2 linked regions of the Arabidopsis thaliana genome follow. The protein of the gene in region 2 interacts with the protein of the main gene of each other region in a pairwise test. Each region holds a gene or a part of one and is shown on either strand. Other genes may lie near its edges.

Region 1 (3,756 bases), about 22 Mb from region 2:
TCATTCAAATTACATAAATAACTTGAAATCCCGAATCGGAACCTGGATCAAGCACAAGAACTCTTACCTGAAATCAAGCCTTTCGTCAAGGTACAATGCGTAAGTCCTGACAAACGCAGAGTAGTCCCAAGAATTAGACCTCGAAACATCCCTAAAATCAGACATATTGAGAAGCCTTGTTCCACGGCGAGTGGCGAAGAAGATCTCTTGCTCGTAGGCTTGATCTCCTTCTCCTAAGAGCCTTTGGATCAAAATCAAGGTTTTGAGGGCAACGGTCCAGCATTTGGTTTTATTAAGGCGTCTCGAAAGCGTGCTAACGCAAGCGTTGATGTAACTGCGTGAGTAAGAAGTTAGGCTAAGAATCTCTCTAATGTATTTCTCTTCTGCTGGAAACTCTTCGTGACGAGTGGCTTTGACGATGGCTACGTCAAGTTCAGATAAAGAAGCGCTTCGACCATTGACTTTGGCTAGACCGACGCTGGTTTGGTCCTTTACGGCTCCTATGGCTCGTTTAAACTTACTCGAACCCATTTTTATTCTGATTAGTTAGTAAATTTGTATTAAAGACAAAAAAAAGAAAAGAAAATATGTAAAAGAAAAGATTTGAAGAGAGAAAAGGGAAGAACGAGGCTTGTTTTTATTTTGTTTTTGTTTTTCCTCGTCGTTTCCTTTTTTCTCCTCTGTTTCTTGTTTAGTTTTGTTTTGTTTCTTCTTCTTCTTCTTCTATGTTTTTGTTTGTTTGTTTCGTCAATGTAGTTTCTTTGTTGTTCGTCGATTATTCACCATCTAAAGTCGCCGAGGTTATTGGAGGCTTTGTCCGGTGAGAAATATGGCCACGTGGCAAAAAATTAACTTATTGTTTGACGGGTCAACTGAAATTTAGTTTGCATTTGCCATTAATGGGTAAGGAGAAGAGTACTGATTAAAGAGGAAAAAACTTTCTTCTAATTTGTAAAAAAAAATACACCAAGCTTTTTTCTTATGGATTGGAAGCCCAAGATTGAATTATGGAATCCAACAAATCAAAATCGATCCAAGCCCATTTCTGCTGACATATTTTTTACTCGTATTATATTCAGAAATGCCACAATTTTGTTTTGTGAAAAATAGAAAAACCCTTGTCTCTCAAAATGGAAAACGAGTCGGACAACGGTTCAGCACTAAGGAGAAGCAAGTTGTAATACCATATGGCAAAATGAAACGTGTCATTTTTATATTGGATATTAGAAACTTTACTCCATGAGTGCTAAATTTCGGAAAAAACGACAAAGACAGATTTTTTTAAAAAAATCTTATTTTCTACCACTAACGAGATGACGACGACCCCGACAATGCGTAGAATTTTTCCCATATCATTTATATATTTTAAAAAAAGAAAGTTATATTGGTTTTTAACATTCTACTAAAAAGAGTTTGGTAAAAGACCTTTTTCTTAATTTGATATGAATAAATTGAAGAAAGTCAAAACAAAAAGCCCACTTCAAAACAAATAAAGCCCACTTCAAGTTTCTGGAAGGTATATAAGAACAAGGGCAAAACCGAAAATAAACCACAAAGTAAGGTCCTTTTAACAAAAATAAAATGAAAGAGAGCATAAAGTGAGTCTTTTTGTCATATCCTTTCTCGTCTGTGTCTCTTCGTCCTCATTAGCTTAAGCATCATCATTCTCTCACCTAACAACTCCACACAAGATTCTTCGCATGGAAAGTTGTTCTTCGACTTCTCTTCTCTAACTCGCTATCTTTTAACTCACCCAGCTCCACTGAGTCGAAAATTTCAAACCTTTACTCGTTTCCTTCATGGCTAATAACAACAACATCCCACATGATAGCATCTCCGATCCATCTCCTACCGACGATTTCTTCGAGCAGATCCTCGGGCTTTCCAACTTCTCCGGTTCTTCAGGTTCTGGTCTCTCTGGAATCGGCGGCGTGGGTCCACCTCCGATGATGCTTCAGCTTGGTTCAGGCAACGAAGGGAATCATAATCATATGGGTGCCATTGGAGGAGGTGGACCTGTAGGGTTTCATAATCAGATGTTTCCGTTGGGATTAAGTCTCGATCAAGGGAAAGGACATGGCTTTCTTAAACCTGATGAAACTGGTAAACGTTTCCAAGACGATGTTCTTGATAATCGATGTTCCTCTATGAAACCTGTAAGTTTCTCTTCAGAATCTTCACTTTGTCTTTTTCTTTTGTGTTCTCGAGAAAATAAAGTGAAATTCAAATCTTTAGGGTTTCAAAATGGTGTCGTTTTTGAGAAAACCCAGCTTAGGTCTAAATTTGATAGTTACCGAGAGTTTTTGGCTCAGATTGGTGAGATTTGATGTTTTTGAAGAAACCCAAGTTGAAGATTTTGATGTGTTTTAAAGTCATAACACTAAAATTAGTTTTGCAAGAAACTTTAGTATAAAAGAGTGTTCTTTTATGTCCAAATTATATTGTAAGAAAATTTGCTCTTTAGTTTCTTTTCTCATGTGGATAATTCCGTCATAGTTTGAATTGTTGCTATAACTACTCTAGTGGCGACCGTTCTTGTGAGAAGCGGTTTTTAAGCTTTTCTTAATGTTATTACGGCATTGTTTTGTGTTTTGTTGAAGATTTTCCATGGGCAGCCAATGTCACAGCCAGCTCCACCAATGCCGCATCAACAGTCTACTATTCGGCCTAGAGTTAGGGCTAGGCGAGGTCAAGCTACCGATCCACATAGCATCGCTGAGAGGGTAAGATGTTTGATACACTTTTTTTATCTTCTGGTCTCTTTTTTCGATTTTTATGTGATAATGTTTGATCAAAGCTTTAATTATAGCTTTTGGTTGAGAAAGTTCGATTAGTTCTTACTTACTAAGAACGGTAAGACCTAACCTGAATGTATTTGCTTTGCAACAGCTCCGAAGGGAAAGAATAGCAGAACGGATCAGGTCGTTGCAGGAACTTGTACCTACCGTTAACAAGGTTGGTATCTTTTTCTCTAGAGCTTCAGCTACTGTTTTCATGTCGCGAAGAGAGCTTGAAAGAGATTTTAAAAGTAGGGAGAAAACTAGAGTTGTCAATGAGAGAAAAGTTTTGTGATTGGCATATAGAAACTGCGGTATTCACATCTGTTTCTTTTGCTTTCCTTTTGCAGACAGATAGGGCTGCTATGATCGACGAGATTGTCGATTATGTAAAGTTTCTCAGGCTCCAAGTTAAGGTAAACACCCAAGTCATTTTCAGTTTTCTATTCTCTGGTTTTTGAAAATGCTATCATTAAAAGTTTGTAGAAAGATTATTTAAAACAGCCAGAAGGATTTAGTGGTGTAAATCCTTGGTCCCCACCACCACCTACTCTCTTAAACCAAACTTCCAATCTTAATAAAAGATTATAATTGTTTAATCTGGCAATAAAGAGTAATCAAAGAGTACATGATTGTGTGTTTTTTGGCATTAGTGTCTTTCACTTTTTGCTTGCTTCCCTCCCATGGAGAATCATCACAATTGAGGACTATTGTAATAAAGCTAATGAGAACATTGAAGAATATTTTATGCAATGATGGGCTTTGATAATATTTTTCCTTCATAAGCTTTATCTCTGGTCAACTATGGCAGGTCCTGAGCATGAGCCGTCTTGGTGGAGCCGGTGCTGTCGCACCACTAGTCACTGAAATGCCATTATCTTCATCAGTTGAGGTTAGACTAGAGAGAGATACTTCATTAAAAAAAGAACAGAACTTTGGTAATGGTTTTTCTTGCACTGACTTGTGGTGTAAAAACTTT
Region 2 (3,756 bases):
CAAAATGCATTGTGTCGCATAGAGAGACCATTAAGAAAAAAATTCAATTAGTTCTTAATTAATATTTTAATAATAATTAGATAAATTGGGGCCTTTATAGTCTTCATTTGTCCTCAATAGCCATTATCCAATAAAATATTACCAGTTTCATTTGATATTTTTGTGTCATATTTTTACCATTTAAGACTTTTCACAATTCGAATAGCCATGAACAATAAAAATCTACGAGTTTCATTTGATATTTTTTTTTTTTTGCCGAATACATTTAAGACTTTCACTTCTACTAACCATGAACAATGGTCTCCCAATTACAAAATATATTTTTGAATCATTGGACTACCATAAATGATTAGTGTCTTTTTTGTATTACATGTAACGTAAAAATACCATTCTTCAAGCATTCATAACAATTTTTTTTTTGTCAAGATACATAACGTAAATTTGAATTTCGTAATAACGATACTAGCACAATTTAGCTTAGAATATGTCCAATTTTTTTTTTTATTTTGAAAGGAGATAGATATATAAATATTATATACATGGATATCGGTGAAATTATGTTTATTATCTATGCCTATCGTTTGATAAAACTTGTATATTTTATGGACGGTGACACAGCCCGGTTCACTATGCCTCGAGCCGTATAATGATCATAAAGAACAGAACTGGTTACTATTATCAGGTTCAACAAATCCATTTTTTGATATTTTGTGTGGCTATCAGTCTATCACATAAAATGGAAAAAGAATTAAGAGAAAGAAGAAAAACAAAACAATGACTTGTAATTAAAGTGCAATAATTGATTGACTTATCAAATTTATTAGAAGAATAAAATATTTACGGAATTTAGAAAAAGCTAGTTGAAAAGAATAAGGACCGTTTGGTATAAAGAGATTGTGAAAAAAGTCACAAACACAATAGGTCCAGAAACGGTGACGTGACACACAGATCGAAACTCAGCATCGATCGACGATCGTCATCATATACCATTTATCCCTTTAGCCTCAAGCCACAAGAACAAATCTTATTTTATAGTACTATTTTTAACCGAAAGAATCCGATCGACAATGAAATAAATATCGAACTCATATCAAGTGCTAACTCTAGGTTTTGCCATTAATTTTGCGTTTTCCAATCGAGCTAAAAACAATTGATCGTCTATTAAAAAAATAAAAATTCCTATGATCGCTTTTTCGATCTAAAACTAATTTTTAGTAATAGTAATACCTGTTAAAGTATAAATATCCCTCCCAAGTACTGAAAACTCAAACCTGAACGAGCTAGCCTAGGACTCAACTTTTATCTCGAAAGAATCTTTGAATATTACTTTTGAAAATAAGTGAGTCTAATCCTTGAAGATATATGTTTTAAAGTTTTTTTTAGCAAATGCGATTGAGAAAACATATATTTTAACTTCAAGATAATCATTACTGTATGAAAGTATGGATAATTAATTAGAAGAAACGTTGTTCAAAAATTGGTTAGTCGTTTATAATTACCAAAATAATAAAACAATTATTAATACGCTTGCATAGACTAATTAGTTTTTTTTTTTCCTAAGCTTACTAAAGTGATCTGATAAAAATCATGTATGGAAGCATGAAAGTAATAAAAAAATATCAAGTTTCAAAATTTTAGTCTTTCATATTTATGTACATTTATATATATACGCATGCGTAGACTATAATCAGTCATTTTCGTGTTTTGTCTATACAATTACTAAAAACTGATTTAATCAAAATCGTGATATGTTTTCTATTTCTGACCACTTAATATAAACGATCGATTTGTAGAATTTGATGGCAACCAATCAAAGGTTACCGTTAGATATAATGTCTATATATAAATAGTATCCCCTTTTGGCATCTTGCATAATAGTACCAAACACCTATCTAATCTCAAATTAAATATTTAAATATTTATAAAATGAGGATCATTATCACTTCTTCGAAAAGCTAAGCAGCAAAGAAACAAATCTCACAAAGACAGTTGTTCTTATAATAATAGAAGAAAATTGAGGGATTAGGAACACTATTATTACAACATCTTTCTGTCAAATAAAATATTTAGCTTAAGGAAAAAATTTAAAATCAAGATTATTTAATTAAAAAAATCACATAGGAATGTTATGATGATATAAGTTTTTGTCTTCAAATGTCAACTAAATTCCGGTAATTTCCACACACTTGTCCGTACTTGCCTATATAAACATACACACCCTCATAAACATATATCAAAATTTTACACTTATGCTCTTCATATCACATACAACAAACTCATATATATAAAAACTTTAACCTTCGTATAGCAACGATCTAGTAGAAAGCTTATACTAAAACTTTCTGATTCTCTTAATATGGCGGAGGAGTTTAAAGCTACGGCATCGATTTGTGGTGGCGGAGGTGGCGCGTGGTGGAACTCGCCAAGGAGCGTTATGTCTCCTTCGGATCATTTCTTGTCACCATGCTTCGGAGCGGCTATCACTTCCAATGATTTTAGCTCGCAAGAGAATCATCTCAAATCTAGGATGACTTGTACGGACAACAACAACATCGTTTTCGGGCAGCGAGAGGCGGATTCTGACAGTGGAGGAAGTACCGTGACGATGGACTCGACGTTGCAGATGATGGGTCTAGGGTTTTCCTCAAATTGTTCTTCAGATTGGAACCAAACCATTTTGTAAACTTCTTAAAGAAAAACCCTAACTTAATTTTTTTTGTTCACTTTCTTGATGAACAAGATTGAAGATTTTTAATAATAATCATGAGATCTCTTTTGTTCTTGTTTTGTATTTTTCAGACAAGAAGACTTAAACTCAAGCTTCATAAGGAGCTCACAAGATCAAGATCATGGCCAAGGATTCTTATCCACAACTACTTCACCTTATATACTTAATCCAGCTTGTTCTTCATCTCCATCAACTTCTTCGTCCTCAAGCTTGATACGAACCTTTTACGATCCCGAACCAAGTCCATACAACTTTGTCTCCACCACAAGTGGTTCAATCAACGATCCTCAACTTTCTTGGGCTAATAAGACAAATCCTCATCATCAAGTAGCTTATGGACTAATTAACAGCTTCTCTAACAACGCAAACTCTCGACCCTTTTGGAATTCTTCATCAACCACTAACTTAAACAACACGACGCCGAGCAATTTTGTAACCACTCCGCAGATAATATCTACTCGTTTGGAGGACAAAACCAAGGTAAATTATCTCATATATGTCAAAATAATTTTGCTACTATATAAGTTTTGTGGCTATATTATTGAATTTATTTATTTATTTATTTTTGTTGAGAAGAATCTGAAGACAAGAGCTCAGAGTGAGTCTTTGAAGAGAGCAAAGGATAATGAATCTGCGGCGAAGAAACCGAGAGTCACCACGCCTTCACCGTTGCCAACTTTCAAGGTACATGATCATATTTCAAGATTTGTTTAAGACCTTTTATTTTAATTCAATTTCTTGGTGGATAAAATGGATTGTATATGTAACAGGTGAGAAAAGAGAATCTAAGGGACCAGATAACTTCATTACAACAACTAGTTTCACCTTTCGGAAAGGTGAATGATTTATGTGTTTACTTTATTTTATATGGCTTAATATATACAACCAAAAGCATTTATTTTCCCTTGGTTATGTATTGAGCTTCTTAGTTTGTTTATTTTGTATATCTTTGGGTTAAACTTCAGACAGATACTGCATCTGTTCTCCAAGAAGCTATAGAGTACATCAAGTTCCTTCACGACCAAGTC

The links. Proteins that work in one complex are often made in the same cells at the same time.
Region 1: the proteins of AT1G61660 (region 2) and AT1G03040 interact in binary tests that used the Arabidopsis thaliana proteins (3 or more experiments, as listed by UniProt).

The regions. Positions count from the first base shown.
Region 1 is NC_003070.9:704,501-708,256, reverse strand, and holds the start of AT1G03040 (basic helix-loop-helix (bHLH) DNA-binding superfamily protein), read left to right. Parts: upstream 1-1,592; 5' UTR 1,593-1,799; coding exon 1,800-2,156; intron 2,157-2,600; coding exon 2,601-2,723; intron 2,724-2,889; coding exon 2,890-2,955; intron 2,956-3,127; coding exon 3,128-3,193; intron 3,194-3,588; coding exon 3,589-3,756. Other genes in the region: AT1G03050 (ENTH/ANTH/VHS superfamily protein), read right to left, coding at 68-531.
Region 2 is NC_003070.9:22,754,772-22,758,527, reverse strand, and holds the start of AT1G61660 (basic helix-loop-helix (bHLH) DNA-binding superfamily protein), read left to right. Parts: upstream 1-2,156; 5' UTR 2,157-2,356; coding exon 2,357-2,679; intron 2,680-2,799; coding exon 2,800-3,208; intron 3,209-3,304; coding exon 3,305-3,412; intron 3,413-3,498; coding exon 3,499-3,564; coding exon of another isoform or gene 3,565-3,648; exon of another isoform or gene 3,649-3,693; coding exon 3,694-3,756.